2 linked regions of the Lepisosteus oculatus genome follow. The protein of the gene in region 2 purifies or fractionates together with the protein of the main gene of each other region. This does not show direct contact. Links are inferred from orthologs where the notes say so. Each region holds a gene or a part of one and is shown on either strand. Other genes may lie near its edges.

Region 1 (10,508 bases), on a different chromosome or scaffold from region 2:
ATTAATGTTTTATTTGCTTAATTAACAATGAAAGCTGCTAATAATTCTGTGAAAACGAATTCAAATATTAAAACAAACGTGATCTAAGACACTACATATCATTCATTTAAACCTTCCGAAAAGTAAATGTGAAAATCCTTACTTGCAGCTTAAGCAGCAGACACACGTGGATACACTATGTCTCAAAGAAAGTCGTCTGCCAGGAAACAAGGCAGTTGAGATAAAGGTTCCGCACCGTATCAATCATTCAGTCTTTATTTTCTTAGACATTAATCCAGTAACACTGGAATCACACATGATTAATAATTCATGAAGATAAATAAACCCTCTGAATAACTAGGTTATATTTGCAAGTGGAACTAAAAGAATTTGTAGACAACACTGAACACAAAGCAGCAGTGGGAAACAATTTATAAATTGTGATTTAAAAAAACTCCTTTTAAAGTGAGTAAGTAATAAATAACTAATGAGGAAAGTGCCTAATATTACTCAAGAAACAGGGGAAGCCTAGACACATAAATGACATTTTGTATGGAACTTTTAGATCTCAAATGTCTATCCTAGTTTCAGTAAGCCCTAGTGTTTTCTGGGTTTTGTAACACCTGAGCTTCCAGTTGCATAGTTGATCTAATTAACTGCATAACTGTAATATGTCTAACCAGGCTCCAGAGTGTTTGAAAGGTCACTGTAATTTTAACGTAGGGAATGTTTTGAGTCAACTTTTGCTTATTTGACAAAACAGATTAGAATAAAATCCAGACACACGTCAGGCCTCCCAGAAATTTAGTGACGTTCCTGGGGTAGACACGCCAGGGTATACAAGGGGAGCTATGCTACCACCCTTTTAAAATACAGGTATTATTCCCACTTAAGAAAGCATTTAAACTGTAATTAAATGAATTAAAAGTCACGTTATTTTCATTTGCAGATATGTATTTAGAATTTACAGGGAATTTTCTGAAACAGTATTCACCACATTTGTTAAGGCATAGGTTAAAAGTTTCTTCTTTCAGCAAACCAAGTCAATGTTGTCGTTGCAAAGCAAAACCAAGGGATCGGCAAGATGTGTACCAGGCTCACTAAGATTTTGGACTTTTCATCCAGTGGACATAAAAGAAAATGAACAAATAGACATTACAACTCTGGACATAATTCAACCATTTTACAGTGATCCAAAAACACTTTGTTGAGATACTGTAAGAGTTACTATTTCAAACACAAATTTAAGTCTGCACATCAAAAACATTTGGAAGAAAAACAACAAACTTATTTGGAGAATATTTTCAGAAACTCTGCAAATGTTTTATCCCTGCTGTATATTTAACATGAGTGAAGTAAACGTTGAATGTGTATTCCTTGCTCTGAATACAAAGATTTGTAGAGAAGCAAAGCATACTTTGCCTCTTTTTATAACTAAGGTAACTGAAATAAAATGTTAAAATGTGACATAGTACCTGAGGCATATTTATGTTGCAATCTGCCTCTTGGACTAGTTTTCAAACAAATAGATCAAGACCTTGGCAGAGCGAACCCTTCACAGAAATACTCAGTCCTGCATTAACAGGAATATCAGCAAAACTCTTTATACTGTATGTGCATTAGCCCCTTAACTGCCTTCTCACCCAGCTTTCAGGGAGGTTTGGGATATGTAGTATGAGTGTTGCATGAGGATTTCTAATTTCCACAACACACATAAACACACAATATCTGCCATTAACCTCTGGGGATGGAATTAAAATGAATTATTATATTAGAATGTTTTTTCAGGTCCAAGTCAGTACACCAATGATACTGCAGTATTCACTGCACTGGGATATGGAAAATAGCACCATTATATGTTTATTAAGATTACATCAAAGGTAAAGATTAGACATTTACACAACACACCCATTGTCAAGGGGGTTTAAAACATGTACACTAATATTACAGCTAACCTAAATTCTCACATTCCATTTGATGGGTAAATATTTAATTTCTCCTCATCATTGGCTTTTAGTGTAGGTAAGACATATACATTTTACAAAAGTCTCTTTAAATATCCATGGGTAAAAATGATGAACAATGAAAACAAGAGTGAGCAAAGGTTAATTCCACGCTGAAAAGCAGAAAGAAGAAACACATTTTGGCTATGGAGCCTTCTTTCAGTGAACATCTCAAATATTACTGGAACATCTGAAATATTACTTTTCAGCATGGAAAAATATCCTTTTTAGCCCAACAAGATCATCTGCAACAGAAACATGTTATGCATGTTCATATAGTCCATAAAACATGACTGTGTATATCTAATCTAAAGTATATCTACTTTAGATATCGAATATCTAAAGTCAGAACAAGTGCAAGTCCACATTCACTTTTTAGAAAAAAGGCCTTTATGAGTACAAGTCACAGATGTTTCTATTGTTCATCATAAGCCTTAAAAGCTACCTATGTTGTGAACACACCGGTTTATGCAGAGAATCTTGTTTAAATCTGAAGTGAAGACGAATGTTTCATTCTCCACCCATGACTGTGGACAACGGCCATTAGAGAAAAGACCGGCAGGGGTAACCCCATCCTGGATTTCCCCAGAAACGAAGAGTCTTGTGTGAGAAGCAGAAATCCAGAAAGCAGGAGCTACTCCTTTCTCCTTCCTCCCATCTGTTAGGATTCACGTTCGCTCTGGCTCGGTCTCTGTGAGCTTGTCCGGCGATTCTGCCTGCGGGCCCGTTTCTGGGAATGCCAGTTTCTCACACTCCAGCAGCTTCAGAGGCAGGTACTGGGAGATCTCATTGGGGTCCGTGTAGAAAGCAGGGGGAACATGCTAGAAAAATAAGCGTTTATTAACAAGCGTAATATATAAACGGCCGTGCACACATGAACAGACATCGCCACCTGCCTTGTCAGCAAAAGAATACAAGCGGCCTAAAACCAGTCCAAAACAGCCCTCGTCCACAAAATAATATGGAACAAGTAAAGTTTTATTCCATGCTGAAAAGAGAAGAAAAGAAAAAACGTTTCAGCTGTGGAGCCTTCTTCGCGTAGAAAAAGGGTTCTGAAGAAGGCTCCACGGCCAAAACGGTGCGTTTCTTTTCTTATATTTTCAGCATGGAATAAAACTTTACTTGTTCCTTTGGAGCCTACACACGCTGACACAGCTACCTACTTGAACTACTTCAACAAAATAATATGCCTGGTTGAATTAAGCATGCCCTTGTTATTAGCATAGTGCCGCCATCACAAATACAGATGAATTGTTTTATTGTTACACAAAGGTTCTGAAAGCGTAAACACCTTTCAAACATGTTTCCATTAGCTATGGCTATTGTGATCATTTTACAAATATTTGTCAAGCAACGTGATTTCTGCCCAAAACTCATTAAATACCCCCACCTTCGGGTTTGATAATAATAGTCACAAACATACCTGCAAGTCTGAAATTTTGCTTTCCCTGGTACTGAACTCCCTTAACATGTAATTCTTGTCGGCCTACAAGCAGCAGAAAACAAAAACACATCAACAAAGAATGCAGATAAGATCCACAATAAGTATTTTTAAATAAAATCTTCCACTCTCTTTTACTATCAAAAAGCTTTTTTTTTATTTTGCAATTGAATGCAACCTACTACTGGTGCATGAAATTAAATATATCTAATATCCATTAACGTCTTAAATAAAAGAATTGCATTACAACTACACAGAAGTTCAATGAAAAATTCAATTAATTTCAACACAATATTGACTTTTTACAATGACCACCTTTTGTAGTTCCATTATTTAAGAGTTCCCATTTCAGCACTAGAGGGGGGAAAAGGCTGCAGCAGTAATCATCTCAAGCAATCTACTTGCCTCATGATAGAGACGAGTGTCATTCATTCGAATCAGCACTCCATCAACCCGCAGGAAGAACCTCAAGAGCACGAAGAAGCTAGATGGCATCACTCTCTTCAGAACAAGAAAGCATTTTAGTAAGGATTTTTGAAGTCCATCATGCAAACCTCAATAAATCAGTTTTCCAAAACTTTGCTGTTGACTTAATTTAACACACAGTCAAACTCCAAAATTCAAATTTTAAATGACCTTCTTGCATGTCCATGTAAGAGAAATATATTACTCACGATTTTTACACTGATCATAGAAACCCCATGATCATGCAGTTCATCTTCAAACAGCAAAACCTCCTCAAAGAACATGATCTGCTCTCGGGCTTTAAGTTTTTCCATGTCAATACGGTCTGTTGTGGGGACTACCTAAACATTGGCATAAAAAAGGGTTTACAGGCATCTTGCAAAGACTGGAATAAAAACATTTCCATTCAACTGTCTTCTTTTCAAGCAAGATCAAACAAGAAAAATCACGTTCATCATTCTACTATAAAAAGAACAGCTGTCAACAGCTCTGACAGGGATTATTACTTCTCTTTTTAAAAAGAATCGGAAATGCAGCAGAAGGCTGGTATATCAAACATTAATATTCGTGCCGAAAGTCAAAAAGACTCAAATCTTACCCTTAACTTCCTCTCATCCCCCAGCAAAGTGCCTTTGTAATCTGTTGTGTATGTCCAGTCGTATCGTTTCACGATCTCTTTGGAGTGCTCCGAGTCAGCTCTACAAATGTCCACAAAAAAGGAAATATGCATATTACTGACCGAGACCAGGTTTCAGGGTCAGCATGGGTGTTTAATTCCACTGTGATCCACATCATAAGCTAGGTTTTGCTGCCATATAGAGAACATTACGAACCAAGAATGCACATGAATGAATCACACAACCAAATAATCATGGCAAGGCACAAACCACATCTACACACACAACATTAAATGATATTATCTCCTCTGAAAATATTCCAAAACATCAAAGGACAAGCCCATATGTTTACATAAATGATTACGTTTTTTAAAGGTTTTACACAATGCCTGTATCAACAAACGTAGTTCAAATAATGGTCCCCATTTCTAAGGTCAATAAAGAGAAATCTAGCAGAGCTGTGCACTTCTAGTTAGACAAGAAGGAAAATTGATTATTATAAGAAGGGAGTAGTTTAGCACCACTGAAGAATCTGGCTCTTTGGTGCTGAAGTTGACAGGTAACGAACAACTTTGCTCTCACCGGCTTTCCTGCCACTCCTGTGCACAGGCCACTTTGACAGAGTCCTGCATGTTATTGACGCGCTTCAGGGCATCTATCGCATTGAACTTGATCCCAAAGCCGTCAGAGTGCTGTAGCTGTAGCACATTGTCCCCAAAGAGCATTTCAGGAAGCGAAGGCATATGCATCTCGTCGGCCAAACTGTTAATATATTGGAGCGCAAATTAGTCCTCCTTTGAATTACTGTATGCATTTGAACAGCCTTCTGCTAGTCAGAAGAAGAAAGGTTTTGCTACTCTTTCCAAAACAAATAAGCACATAAGAGAAGTTACAGATGACACTAAGGCCTTTTAGGTTGTTAGGTTGCTGAATCAGCTACTTATTTACTTATGGTATGAGTTTCAATGATATGTCTAGATGCTTCCACAGCCCCTTGGATAAAGAAGAACTTTCTGTTTTCAGTTTTAAATGCATTTTCCCTCAGTTTCCATTTGTACCCTATGGATCCTGTTTCACTGCTGATTCTAACAACACCTACTAGGCACCCTAGATTCTTAGATCTGCTAACTAAGCGATTAATTGAGACAAGACAAGAAAGGTAACAGGCTACTTTCCGTTTGACAATATACAGATTTATCAGTATCGGTTATATTAAAGTGGCTAAAAGTTCAACAGAAAACTGCCACTGTTTTTATCTAAAGAAGTCAAACTTTGAAAAGAGCTGAACAATACAAAATGTCTCAAACTTTTTTTCACGCAATACAGTAGGCACATCTAACATCACACCAACAATATCATTCCCTACAATTATGCAGTTGTTTTTCATGCTTTTTGGTTTTTCATCACTCTTTTCATGTTTAAGCACTAAAATACTGTATATTAACTGCTATATATTACTAGAAGGATCCAACAAAACAAGTAAAACAAACATTACTGTAATGCACAGAAATCGATAACAACATATAAAAGGCCCGTTTTTACCGTTCAATGTCTTTAGATTTCATGATGTGGGTTTTTTCTGCCATAACCTTCCAAGGACCAAATGTAAAGTCCTGCTTACTGCTTTTAAATCCATGAGACAACATAGCTGTCAATCCTGGGGGGAAAAAATCCTACAAAAAAGTTTTTAAAATTAAAACTTACACAACGACACATAATGGAGCCGAATAAACAGGACAAAAGCTGAAACAAAACGTGGTGGGAGAGATACTAAGAATAAATGTTATGTATTTTTAGTAGAAGCTGGAACAACTATTAATCTGGAAGTGCTTTACAGCGTTTTATGTCTTGGGTCACGAGTCAGATGATACAAAACATCCGATTTAAGTATATGTATTTATTACTCATGAATAAATGAGGATTATACAAGACACGTCTACTACAATTAGTAGAAACCACCTCAAATTAGAGATGCGTAATATCCCTATAAAAGTCAAGTTCCCAACCCCACTATTAACGACTATGCTAGTTTCCCTGCAAGCCTGTTTTATAAACTCCAAACGTTTCTGAACCTATGGATTTTAAAATCTACCATTTAAGTCAGGAATACCCATGTTACACGAGGCTTGGTATACTATGAAATTCAAAAACCTACCTTCGATCTCTTTTTTTAAAATGTCTTTTTGAATTATTACCTGACTTTCCAGCAGCTTGCCCTGCTGCTACTACGTGCACGACACTAAATCTTTCCGACGTGAACACACTTCAATTCTTTAGTTCCGCTTGAGAAAGTTAGTTATGTCTCACGGGTCTATCTTGTTAAAGTTCAATGTAAAGGATTATAAAAATGTACAAAGAGGGATATATATTAAATTATGTCGTTAATTATGTATTACTTTAAAAGCTCAAATATAGGTAAACGTAACAAATCCAAGCATCCGAGGATTCTCTCCTAAATCTCGTCCGGAAGGAAACACGAATTGAGTCACCTTGAATGACAGACCGTGTTGGCATTATAGTGTATCTGTCGCTGGATAAGGTGTCTTTCTAGAGACGACTGAGATTTTAGAAATATAAGTGCAGCAAGGCCCTAATTGTGAGATTGTTAGAACGTCAAAACTCTTATAAATATTTAGGTATTCCTACTATATCCATTCATTCTTCCCACACGGCTATTTGCTAATAACCCCCTCTTCACTGTAGACCTTCCTAGGTAGTCATTTTCTTGAATTAGGAGATGATAAAACACAATCTCCAATCAATGCAACTTTGTGACAATTGGTCGTAAAATCTTGTTGGAAGCAGTGTCTGCATTGTTAATATTGGAGAAGTGGATTAAACTCTGAATACTATTACTATTTTTCATGGAGTCTACTGTTCAACAGCCAGCACATATGATGGTTTTATCTAAGAGGGCTTGGAGTTGGAGACAGGAATCTCCACACATAAAAAAGGTCCCTCACAGCCCAAGATTGCTGTGAAAGAGCAAATAAAGCTTTAAAAGCTTCTGAATAGCCCATCCACACCTCCTGATCACACACTGTGTTCAATACCCCTCTGTACGGCTTAATACTTAAAGAAAGACCTGATGATAGCTTCACATATGACTCAGGTACAGCACCAGAAAGTGAACCTCAAAGTTTATGTCGCCTTGAGCTGTTTGAATACTTAATGTTGCAAAGGCACTGCTCCTCAACCCGTCTTTGAAGTGTGATTTATCTGAACGTCCTGGACCCCAACAAGAGGTCTTTAGTCTTTCAGGCTGATTCGGAAGCAGCACACTGTTAGACACCACAGGAAATAATTTGTCTCTGGGATTAGGACCATACAGTCTGTTTGGAGCCCAAAGTGCTCAATTAAAAGCCTCCTCAGTAAAAGAAGCACTCAGGAGGCTGAAGTCATACCAATACCTTGGCATGAAAGCAAGAAAAATGCAAAAGAGAATTCCATCTGGGAGAAGTTCTTTATGAGGAAAACTCATATGTTAGGACTCAGTGACCATGTAACACAAAGTCATTATTTCATATTGCAAGGAACCAAAAGTCAGTAGGTGGAAAAGACATTGTTCATTCATAATGCAGAGAGTGCTTTAGTATCTTGCATTTTTGGCTCAAAACATATTCTTAGGGAAAAACAGCATTATCTCTATTTAATGTATAAGATTAAACATGAAATGTATGCTCTTGATTGTTTACTATAAATTTCATATTTACAAGTCTTTATTTCAATCAGCATCACAAACCAGGATAAGTAGACTGAACTAGAAAAGCTAAAACTAGCTGAAATTTTCATTTAACTTTCTAGTAAGGTGCATACTAAGGTAGCATATTAGAAATCAATTGTTTTTAATATTTTATATATAACAATATAAAGACTCTAGTGTTGTATGGCAAGAAAACAAAAAAAAACATTTTACATAAATATGATTATAGAAAATTGACTTCCAATAGGATTTTGAAAGCAGGTGAAAGAACATTATAATGACATCATAATTATGCTGCTGTTTTGATAATGTTATTAAACCAGTTTTTGTCTGACACAGGCAACACTTTTCAAAATGCTGGAAATCAAAAAGTCTTCTCAGATCTGTTATAGTCTGACACAATGCTTGTGTTATTTCTTTTGAGTCTCTTATTTTAAATAAGGAAACAGATCTGTTTAGATGTATGATTTTTAACTGATACATTTTTTTACACAAGTATGAAAAAAATACAAATCTGAGCACGACTATAGCTTAACTATTAATTATGCTGTACTGCACTCTTGTGTCTGAAAATAACCTTCTCCACGGTGCTCCTCATTTCCTGCAGTCGGAGTCTGTTAATGAGTGGGTTGAGCAGAGGGGGGACAATGAACAACTGCAGAGACAGGAAGGTCCGCACCGCTAACGGCACACTGCTGTTGTCCAGACGGCGGCTGATGACCTCGAAGAGGACGTTTATGCAGAACTTCAGGAACGTTATGATGTGAGGCAGGCACGTAGTCAGAGCTTTGCCTCTTGCTTCCTTTGAAGCCTTCAAGCAGGCTCTCAGTATTCTCTGATAGGAAATCAGAACGAGAAGCATGGACACACAGGGAAATAAAACTGTTGCAAGGATCCCAAAATAGCTTTCCAGTTTTGTGTCAATAGCCCAATTTCCACAAAACATTTTGTCAGTAGTATTGGCACACAATGGAACCCTGGAACTTAATCCTACAAGTACACCAAAAATCAAGACAGGAAACAGCCAGGCAAAAGCAACAAGCTTAGATACAGTCCCAGGCGTCATGATTCTGTGGTATTGCAGTGGCATACAGATGGACACAAATCTGTCATACGCCATTACTGTCAGTATGGTACATTCGTAACCAGCATAAGTATAAAGACAAAATACCTGAAAATGGCACCAGAAGCGGGTGATCTTATGCACATCTGACAGCAAGTTACTCAGAATTTGAGGATACAGAGCAACACTCCAGTACAAGCCATTTACAAACAGGTTGCTCAAAAACATATACATGGGCTTGTGAAGGTTCTCTTTTAGATAAACAATAAGAATGAGGAAACCATTAAGAAAAATAGTTACCAAGAAAGCTACAAAGATGAAGACAAAATACAAGTATTTCATGCTGCCCATTTTCTCATACGCTGTTAGAAGCAGCACTGTAACATTGGGAGGGGAAGTCATTTTCTCCTCATCTGCCAGAATAACCTGGGTCACACTTAGAAGCTGCAAAAACAGATAGAATTTTAAAACAGAACAGGAAATGTATGAACATTATGGACTGTTTTCTATCGCGTAAGTGAATTGTTGCGCATCTGTTTCCTAAAGGTAAACTACCTGGTGCCTTGGATGAAAGTTAATGGGATGAATCTTTGATAAATCTCCACCATTTCCAGATGGTGTTTTAAAATGGTCAATTAAATATTTTCTAACCATATTTCTAGTGTGTAATTAAAAAAATAATATTTTACATGCATATTACACACTATGCTAACAGAAATAGAAACATTAATTGGTCAAGTGAAAGAAAATGAAGTGACAGAAAATTAACAAATATCTTGTTTAAATCTGTTCTCGAATGACCTGTTGTGCAGCTGACTTCTCAGTTGAACTAATGTCGTTTTAGAGCACAGACTACACACTTACCTGCTCCAAGCAGTCTGCTAGAGTACAAGTCGCAGGGCTGGAGTAGGACCTGATATACAGTAGGTTTGTTGAGTCCCAGTTAGGGAGCTGGCGAATTGGCGGATCTGATCACAGAAATGTCCAGGGAAGGTCACAAATCTCTGTGGAATGATCTTCTTTGCTTTGCCCAGTTTGCTTCCATTTCCTGTGCAGGTCCGAAAATCTAAAGCGCAGCTGTACTCCAGTGCCATTCATTTGTTGCAAGTTATAGATAGCAATTTCCAGTTTTACTATATAGTTGGCATGCTAATTCCAGTTTGTCCAATTTCAACACTTCAGAGGCTGAGACAATTTTTTGGCTCTAAAAACATTGTCGAGTTTAAATTGTTCTATC
Region 2 (10,508 bases):
GGTTTCAAAAGGGTTTATATGTGGGTCATCCGTGAGGTGCCAGTTATAGCTGTGGCAGCAATCGGTACTGGCGGTGAGTGCAGTTGTCAGCTCACACGCATGCAGGTAAGATGCAAAAACACAAACTAGCTATAGCATGCCATGTATATTTTCTGCTTCATTATCCCACCCCAATATTGTGTGGCAGCACTCCCAGAAAATCATGCTTACAGGGGCACTGGAGGGATCAATGGCCATTAGTATCCCCAAGTGGCCTGTCAAAATCCTGTGGCTGAAGCGCTTGAGTTCACAGGTTAAATAAAGCACGTGGTGTCAAACCAGACTCGGATTCCTGTTTGCTTTCAGTCAAAAGCTGAATTCAAGAAACATTTAAAAAATGGACAACATAAAACCTATTGCTAAGATAGAGGTCCATGACTTCAGCAGTCCTTCACACAAGAATCAGAAAAAGAGATATGGCACAGAATGCCACTTCAGCTGCCAGCGCACAACGTGAGTACTGTTTATAAAAATGAATTCAAATTATTTTACATGTAGTTTATCATCAGGTGTGCAGCTGATAGACGTGTATGGTTATATGGTTTTGCTGTATTGACAACAAAGAAAGAGTAAAGAGGTTGAGGAGATCAGGTTATGTGAGCGCAATAGGTAGTGGATCAGGCCACACTTTGGAGACAGAACCCGTGTAGATTACTTGGTGTGCAAAAGACTACGAAAGTGAATCATACACGTCTTCGAAAGTGTGTAGTTTCGCCTTCATGTTCAGAGCAGACTGTCGGAAACTGACACCACCTCATCGCGGGACCCAGCTGGAGCAACAGACCAAATCTCAAAACCATTGTGTTCAACAATGGTTGGACATCTCAATTATTCCATAAGAAATTCCACACCGGCATTCAAGGATGATAACATCATAAAGCTATATTGATATTGGATTCCTTAGGAGAGGAAGATGTCATACTGAGAACCTGAGTTAGAGAGAAAATTATTAGAAAAGACCACATGTGAGGTACCTTATGCATCACGATCTGACAACACTGGATTAATATGTCTCTTGGGTTTATAAATTCACTTAGGCAGTCTAGTAAGTAAACTTTCACAACAGTGAAGGCATCAATAAAACTCCTCAATGTTTCTAAGCCTTGGCAATGAGGAAAAAGTGTACTCTTAAATCTTCAAATTCAAATCATAAATACCAAGACCTCTGAAGGCCAATAAACAATTCTAATTAGTAAACATTTTACAAATTTAAAGCTCTCTTTTAGGGAGCTCAGCACGGTTATGTGGAGGCTAGCGCGGTCGTCTGACAGCTCTTGGGCCTGGGTGCTCCTTCTGTTGTGGAGTTTGCATGTAAGCCCTGTGTCCATGTACTCAGGATTCCACCACAAATCCCAAAGTATTCAGACCCTGTCACAGCTTGCAGACAATTGGAAGCTGCAATTTGTTATATACACATATTCATGGCAAACAAATTGAAAGATATGAAAGGAAATGTAAAAGTATTTGATCAACATGCAAACCCTTCGCCATAGCAAATCTAAATGAAGGCGCACACCTTACTCACCCACACACTGTGCTCACTCAGAAATGGTTCTCGTGAGCTCAGAATACAAAACCTCCTTTCTCTGTGAGGTTCCTTGGTCAGGTAGTGAATGCCATGCAAAAGACACAACTATGAAAACTTTCAAAGCAATGCAGGGATAAAGTCACTGAAAAGCAAAAACCAGAAGGGTACAAAAAATACTGAGGTGTCTACCCTTGTGAGCACAATCATCGAGAAACGCAGGGTGTATTGTACCACCAAGTCACTACCTAGATCAGTCTTTCCCTCCAAACTGAACGGCTGGGAAAGGAGGAAACTAGTAAGCGATCCGACCATGAGGCCAAAGGTGAATATTACAACTGCTACCGAGTCCAGATGAGATGGGAGAAAACGTGCACCAATCAACGATATCTGGGTCACCCCACAGATCTGGCCTCTATAGCAGATTTACAAAGTTAAGAATTTAAGCAATACTGCAGAAATATGGCAAATGGTTTTGTGGTCAGATGAGAGAAAATAGGAATTTGTTAGTCTAAAACAAAGTATTATATTTGGTTCAAACCCAACACATCACTCAATCAACACCATCTGTGTGTTAGGTATGGCGAGTACCGTGTTATGTTACTATTCTGCTTCTCATTTATGGTAACATAGATGGAGCAAAGTACTTGTGAATCCTAGAGGAAACTCTGCTTCAGACAAAACAACTGGGACAAAAATTCATCTTTCAGCAGGACAGTGTTCCAAAGCACAAGGCCACAGCTACAGTAAAGTGCCTTAAGAGCATGAAAGTGAATGTCCTTGAGAGAGGTGACTTGAATTCTACTGAGAATCTGTGTAAAGACTTACTGCACATAAGAGATCCCCAAGCAACTTGTGAGACCTTGAGAAAATCTGCCAAAAGTGCAAAAAGTCAGAAAAGACTTAATCAAAAGGACCTGCAGCTAGAATTGCTGCCAAAGTTGCTTCCACCAAATATTCACAGGTCTGAAAACGCAATCAACTTATTTCTGCGTTTCTTCTTTAATTTTTACTAACATTTCTAACATAATTAATTAAGTGGCATGGTGGCCCAGTCTTACGGTGCTGGAGCCCCACATTTGATTCGTGGGTGCTCTTTGTGGAGTTTGCATGTTCTCCCCGAGTTTGCTTGGGTTTCCTCCCACAGTCCGAAGAAATACCAGCAGGTTAACTAGCTTCTGTTTGTGTCTGTGTGCGCGGTGATGGACTGGCATCTTGTCCAGAGCATACACTTGCCTTGTTGACTGTTGCTTGCTGGAAGTAGGCTCCGGCCCCCCTGTACTGGATAAAGTGGTTAGAAAATGCATGGATGGAATATTAAGTAGAAAGGGTCTGAATACATTTGCAAAGCACTGTAATGTAAATGAAGGACTTTAAAATAGATGTAGTATCCCAAGATTGCAGAGAATTTCCCCAAGCTCCCCAAATGTGTGGGTATATTTGAGTTAATGAGTCTATAGCTAGATGTGACCACTTTAACATTCAGGAGTAGTAACTGTAAGCCACCGACAAAAAAGCTGAAGCATTAAGAGTGTTCCCCGATAATGTATTTGACAAAAAAAAAATCCCACATCATCACTTTTGCCAAAAATTAATCAACAAGGAACCGTGCAGTAGGTTAACTCCAACCAGAGACAGAGAGTGGAAACTGGACATCTGGGACAGCAGACGTCCCTTAAACAGCTTGTGCAGTTGGAATTAGACGTAAAATCCTATAAGTGATTTAAAAAGAAAAAAAACATGCAACCCTGCAGAGGTCACAAGAAAGAAGCAGCACACAGTCTGCTCAGGTCACAAACACCCAGACGTGTTTCAAAGCCCCCCGCCACAGCAGAGGGGAAACTCCACTCTCCGAAGCTCACAATCTCATCCACCTCTTCAGTGTCCAAGCAGCAGAAAACACCACATGCTAGTCACATCAAGCTGGCGTGAACATCATGGAAATGAACTAGGGGACCGACATTCAAGCAATGGTGTTTATTCACCCGGGAGAAGGCAAGGGCAAGACTTTCCAAAAACTCTCTTTAAAACACAGGGAGCTACTAACTGAAAAAGAACTGTAGGAAAAGAAGTGATGCTTTCATCCCTGTGGTTGTTCCAAAGATAAAAACGCTGACAATACAATCCCAGGAAACCAGGCTTGACTTTGGGCTCAGAAGCAGTCGGTGTTTGAGACTGAAAGACTCAAAAGCCTGTTTCTATCAGGTGGATGACAGTTCTGCGAGCAGGCAACAGCTGGGGTAGAAAGAAGCTAAAGAAACATGGGATCATGTAGGTTTGTTTCAAACAGACTGGTTGCGAGGAAAAAGGCAATGAGGGAAACAGAGCCCCTATTGCTATCTCAGAAGAATCCTCAGAATGGAGATGGAGGAGCCCAGCACTCAGTTAGTAAAGAGACATTGCAGAGGCACACACTTGGGCATGTTACAACTTTTATTGGAGCATTTTAATAAAGCCATCATTATTAGCAGACTCATCTTAATGTTCCCAAAGCAGTTCTGATTGGCCATGACCGGAACCCAATTATTTTTTCTCTCCCAGCAACACCATCAGAAAAATACTTTTACCCTTAAATTAGGAACAGTTGTATTCTTCATACTTACATATACAATAGCAGGCCTAGAACCTTAGCACATAGCCTATGAAAATCCTTACTTGTAGTTATCAGATCCTAACCTTCCTATAAAACAAGATTTAAACTTGATTTTAACTGATGCTAAGGTGATTCATTCTAGTTTCTGATTCAGCACAGCGTTGAAGGAATTCAGTGGCCTATTAATTTGCCTTAGCGACACAATTTCACACACTGCCCAGGATCCAGAGCTAGACAACCTATACCCACAAACAAAATCACAAATTTCAAAGCCATTTCTTAAGTGAAAAGCATGACTCCCATCTAGTGATGTGTTTGAAGTTCTTAACTGTCCATGGTGTTTTAATCCCAACCCCAGGTCTCTCTGCTTGGTGACTATAAAGATTCTGGAGGTCCGGTGTTTTAGTAGGTTTTCATTCCATCTCATTTCTAAATGACCTAAATCAGCTTGTTACTGGCTATACCAATTTAACGCTGCCCAGCTCTTCAGTTGTCAGTGAATGAAAGAGACCTAGAAAACTGGCGGACATGCTAGGCCACTGATATTCATTGCTGGTCCTGGGGGGCTGTTGTTTTCAGGTTTTCATTCCAAGCTGGACTCTGCTGTTCACTCTGCTGCTCTGTATTATTTCAAGTCTTTACCCATTGCGGATTACCCCTACGTAAACCTGTGAAACTGGCAAACTGCAACCCTTTAGGTCCAAGAATTAATATTTCTGTATTAGACTCCCCAGGACAGATGACAGACCCCCTATCAAAAGGTACAGTGTCATAAAAACCCTTTGAGCAACAAAATCATTCTCCAACTCATGCAACCCGCCCCTTAATTACTATATTGATCCTACTGGTCCGCAGCTAAATAATTAAGAAGCTGGTTGTAGAAATAATGGAAAATAGAGCAGGCTGGAGGTTGAGGAGCCCTGCTTTAGAAGAAAATCCCGAGTTTGTTCTTTTTACACGGTGCTACTGCCTGATGTGCGCTGGACACAGCAGGTGCCTCGTCCCGGGGCAACTGGACCTCGAAAGCTGGCGTCCTCGTGCACAAGGGCCGAATTCAGCAGAACCTGCAAGACTGAACTGACCGTGACCTGCGAGCATCGAAACCCGTGAGATTACGCGTGCCACCAGCAAAACAGACATTATGATGGTGCCTACGGAGGTTAAAGTAGTACTTTATTACAAACTCCATGACTGTGAGAACATTTTTCAATGTATGGTTGCTTTACATTCACAATATTGCTGTGTTCCACAAACACAGCATCGTTGTTTCTCGCTTTATATTATGAGTGTTCTTCAAAGTTAATATTGCTTGTTTTAAACCCCACTTAGGAAAAAATTAAGCAAGATAAGTTTTTTTTTGTTTTATATCGCGTGGTTTAAATTAATTGTCATGACTCTACTAAAATGCACTAACGTGCATATACAACGCTCAATAACGAAGTGGATAAACACAGCAATTTCAGAACAGAAAAGCCTCACAAACCACAACGAGCTCTCCTGTGAGCAGCACGTCTGGTCCTTTTTGCTGATGCGCTGGAACGAGCCCCACCAGCCCGTCCCGCACAGGCGCACTGAGCTCTCCCCACCTGACGGCTGCGGACGCCGCATGCGCCACGGATCACTATCTCGCAGCTCTCACCCAGCCCGCAGCTGACGCGCCGCTCGCGTTCAATCGGTCACTATTTGGCAGCGCCGTCGCTGGGGCCCCAAACATCAGCAGCCCACTTCACTTTACCCGAGTACAGCGAGCGTTCACAAGCTAGGGGCGAAATGCCGGTACATTACACCAAAAAAGACTGACCCTCAGTTGAAACTTGAACACACACAGTCACTTCCAAGATGCATGGTAAAAACCATAAATTGCCGTACCTTCTCACACAGCGTTCTCACTTGGTTCTCAGTCAGCTGCTTGCAATCGTTCAGCTGCTCGACCCATTGATCCAGTTCTTTTGTAAAGGCTTTATCGTCCATTTTTAAAAACACACACGGCAAAGCGGTTTTAAGCACTAAGTTGTTTCGAGCAGTGACTCGTTTCTTTTTTTTCTTATCGAAATTCGTCGCTGAAAGGCTGAAGCTGGAGCTTTGCAGAGCGGTGCGAAGGGGGGCACCTCGGCTTTCGGAACAGATAGCTGAAATCGGCTCAGAAACGGCGAAATCAAACTGGTCCGGGCGTTTTCAAGTCCCCTAAGACTTTAGGCGCTCTGGTTCCTGGGTCCAGCGGGTGGGTAGCAGGGGATGAGCCGCACTCTTCCTTCACTGCCAGTAGCTCCTCTTCCCCCCGACCTTCCCAGCGAAACTCAGCTGTGTAATGGCCGACCGGCTCTGCGCTCTCCTCCCCCAAACGTCATCACAATGGCATTTCCACCACAACACCGGAGATTTCACAAAGCAAGAAAAACACTCGGTGAAGAGACGTTTCCCTCCAACTGCAAATAGCTTTAGCAAGTTAGCAGTTATTCTTCTAGCGCCCTCCGCTGTCAGAGAAGACCTAGTTGGCTATAAACTGTGGGTTAGTGCTTCTCAACCCCGGTCCTGGAGGGCATCTGTGTTACAGTTTTTTTTTCCAGTAGAGCTCTTACTCATGAGCCTATTTATTCCTTTAAATGAACTACTGCTTGGTTAGACGTTTTAAACCTGTTTCTGCACGTGTTTTAATAAATGATAATTGGATTGATTATTTATGATTCAAGTTTTTAACATGATCTTTCAGCCACACAATGCCTTTTTCATAGGGACTGCCAAATTGATAGTACCTGCATTACCAGAAAAAATGTATCTTATGCTTTAGTTTTGGGTGGTATATTTCCTATATATGAATGATTGTTAAAGTTCCACGAGAAACAAAAGACAACCACATTTCAAAACTTTATTTTGAACTAAATAGAATATTTTTCATTTTGGCAGAGGATTGTGTTTCTACAGTTTATTGTGTAGGGTCCCAGGCACAGTGAAAATCAATTGACATTTGACTGCTGAAACTATTGTGAGTGCCTCTGTGTTTCACCAGAGGGCCCTCTACTTCCACACATGTTCAGAAATATTCAAAACATCTTGTCATCTAGGTGCACAGTGCAATGCACAGTCTGCATTTGAAGGTCTGAGGGCCTTCTGGATCAGCAGGTGTCTGGTGGTAGTAAGTGTGGAAATAGATACTGTGCTTAGAGCAATCAAACTCAATAGCATGATGCAACCAGATGAAATCCCTTGCCACTGCCAGAGTTAGTGAATAATCTGTTTTCATCAATCCCTGCTCAGATTACACTTTGCTTGATGCTTGCACATCTTGCTGTTTAACTGTTAGGACCCCAAAACAAAGATAAAAACTTTTCTAGAGTATCTTCTTCAACTAATCATGTATAAGCAGATGTAATTTTTGAATTAATCTGTAGACCCTCTTGTTTAAATGTTTAAACTGCCAAAAAGTCTTGGCTTCCATCTTTTTCTTCTTCACAAACGTGAATTTCAGTTTTATTTGCAGTATTAACATTTTAGACATAGACAGGATGACAAACTGATCTAATTCAAGTATTTTAACTGCTCACAAGAGCCAACATAGTCCTTCCACTGAACTTCTACAAGATGAACAATGAGAGACAAAGCAGGGAAACATTCCTTTGCACTAGCTGAAGAGACTCAGGGACTATAGGAATAATAATAAGAGTGCTCTTTTAATGGACTTGAGACATTTCCTCTGCGTCAATATAGTTCTGTACATGCACATTTGGAGATATAAACAGAAATCCAAGATTAAGGAGACTGGACTGAAGGACAGTCCTTTAGCCTAGTCTCTTTAAACAACAGTCTGGCCCAGCTAGCTTCTTTTATACTGCTCCAGACACACTACTGATGACCCCAGTGATCGATGACCCAGCTTGCTGCTCACCAGAGGCTCCTGGGAAGTGTAGTCTTCTCCAGCGTGTCCACGTTCTCAAATATAAGAACTAAAGTGTTTGGACTGATATAGACAGTAGCACCCTTCCTCCCTCCTACAGTGTGTACACTGGATGTCATCTTTCAGCTCTGTAACAATGCTGCTCTCCTTTGCATATCTATTTGGATTATGGTGTCTAACTTGACAATAGGTCATGTATAGTACAGCTTTAGCTGCTAACATGTTATGTAACTGTATGCAGTATAACTATGCTGTTGGCTTTTTGTAACATTTCCACAGTCCGAAAAAAGGTTTACTATGTTAACATAAATGACTTGTAAGATTTATTAGCTCAATACTGTACAGATTCATTACACTATTGTATAACGTATTATCTTGAATACATTTAATATTTATATTACATTTAATATGCAAACATAGGAATACAAAGCATTACCTGTTTTGTATATATACTTTCCCTATATCCCTGCCAAGGATACATATTAAATGAACCTAAAATTTGCATTAATAAAGAAAAGCAAAGTGTAGCAGGCTGGTCTTTGAAGGGACTTTAATAACAACTGACCTGCCACTAGCCACCGTCCTCTACTCGAGAATAATTTCACTGGGGTTAAATTGTTCATTTTTATTATTTTTACAGTGTGGTAGATGACACATTCTCACATGGGTGTTAATCAGTGATGTGTTTGGGTACATGGGTATAGGGACTTTCACTGTGTTAGTGATGAGTTGCGTTTTAAGAAGCAGTCAGGTCAGACTGCTAGAGTTTAACAATAGGCAAGGGGTGTGGGTGGGAGCTTCTCTTTACAGTCTTTTGAATGTAAGATCTCCTGTTTACCCTGAAATAAAGTCTCCAGCATCATATAGGGTCATCCTTGTGAATCTTCATGGGCTCAGATCAATGAGTCCACCTTATCTAAGGGTGGGTTCTGTCACATCAGTACTGTACCTTTTATAGAAAAATACTGACAAATTTGTCAAAAATACATTTTAATATGACAAACAGTACAGAAACAAATAGTGCTCAGACAATGTATAGGATTAAATCATGGATAACATTTTGTTCTTTACAAATTGAGCATAAAATTCTAGGAAAGCATGAAGGAAAATATTATCTTGGCAGGACTCTGCAAAAAATACAAAAATATATTTTTTAAGAAATATGAAAGAAACATATAAAAGCTTTCAGACCTAAAGTTTTCAGAAAGGACTCTTGAAAACAACCAAAAATAGAACCATCAGACATAATGTTCTTGTGTTCTCTGCTTCTCTCTAATTCCAGTACACTGAAAAACAGAAATATCAAAGGTAAAGTTAGTTTAACTGACAGTCAAACAGCTGACAGGTGATAATTCACTTTTTTCCTGAAAAATGTTTTACGCATTTTTAGAATTTATCTCATATTTTGTTTAAACATTAACTCTTTGTTCCACTATGTTATATATTTCAAGATGTAAAGAATCTGTTAACTTCAGATAGTGGTCTTCAGCACAATAAAGTAGATTTCACAAGCTGTATACATGTAGTAAAACAAAAAATAATGAGTGACACAGAAGCTCATGTACTAACATACCTGGTGGTGGCTGACTTGCTGCAGAACAATTTGGATCAGAATAAAATGTCCTCAGTTGCTGAGAGTCCACTGCAGGTATCTGAGAATTGCTCATACCAAATGGATACCCATTACAAAAGAGAAAGGGTTCACAATTGTAATACGGACAGGAGTTGTTTAATGCCTGAAGATGATGAAACTGAGATCCATGATCTGTAGTGCTTGCAAATGCGTGGTAAGTACTGGCTGGTTGGAGCTCCTGCCTTCCAGAGCACACAGGAGCACTGTGAAGCTGCTGTGTCCACGCACCACCTCCCTGGTGCAGAGACCAAAAGGGTAAGACGGGCTGGTTCCAGTAGTGTGGTGCCTGTGAATGCAGAGTCTGCTGCTGGCTGTTCTGTAAGATGCTGGGCCTTAAAAGTCCCTCACTGCCCGGACGTCTCTCAGGGTGCCTTTTGTTTGATATACAAGTCTGTGTCTTTGTCTCACCCCAGGCTGGTCTCAGCTGCTGCTGGTACCTGTGGCATTCTCGCTGTTGTGCGTGGGAAACTGGACAGGGCAGAGTACGCTGCAGGGATGAACCGTGATTCTTGTGCCAAGGTGCCCATGTTGTGCGCTGCTGCTCAAACACCCTCCCCACAGACACGAAGTCAGAAGATGAAACCTTGGTTTTTGGAGTGCAATTTACGTCGCACATCATACCCTGCTCAGAGGCTAATGTGTGGGGAAAAGGCTCCAAAGATTTGGCTTTTTTTTTAATCTGCTGCTCAGAGCCATTCTGCAGTTTATATATTGTCTCCAGAATTGTCTCACTAAGTGCTTGCACATGAGGCTGTAGCTGTAAAGAGTCATGACCATTTCTGAGAGCAGTGGTCTCCAGCTGTAATGATGTGTCTCGGATCTCCTT

What was found. The genes of interacting proteins can lie anywhere in the genome.
Region 1: the proteins of ppp2cb (region 2) and tiprl purify together in Homo sapiens (co-immunoprecipitation; 3 studies listed by BioGRID and IntAct, with this or other methods). This does not show direct contact. The link is inferred for Lepisosteus oculatus from reciprocal best matches to the Homo sapiens genes PPP2CB and TIPRL.

Annotation. Positions count from the first base shown.
Region 1 is NC_090700.1:7,029,908-7,040,415, forward strand, and holds tiprl (TIP41-like protein), read right to left. Parts: upstream 6,779-10,508; 5' UTR 6,701-6,778; exon of another isoform or gene 6,661-6,700; intron 6,179-6,660; 5' UTR 6,152-6,178; coding exon 6,048-6,151; intron 5,268-6,047; coding exon 5,088-5,267; intron 4,587-5,087; coding exon 4,487-4,586; intron 4,230-4,486; coding exon 4,098-4,229; intron 3,925-4,097; coding exon 3,829-3,924; intron 3,469-3,828; coding exon 3,406-3,468; intron 2,804-3,405; coding exon 2,651-2,803; 3' UTR 913-2,650; downstream 1-912. UniProt on the Homo sapiens protein: May be a allosteric regulator of serine/threonine-protein phosphatase 2A (PP2A). Isoform 1 inhibits catalytic activity of the PP2A(D) core complex in vitro. The PP2A(C):TIPRL complex does not show phosphatase activity.
Region 2 is NC_090698.1:27,326,703-27,337,210, reverse strand, and holds the start of ppp2cb (serine/threonine-protein phosphatase 2A catalytic subunit beta isoform), read right to left. Parts: upstream 6,517-10,508; 5' UTR 6,129-6,516; coding exon 6,027-6,128; intron 1-6,026.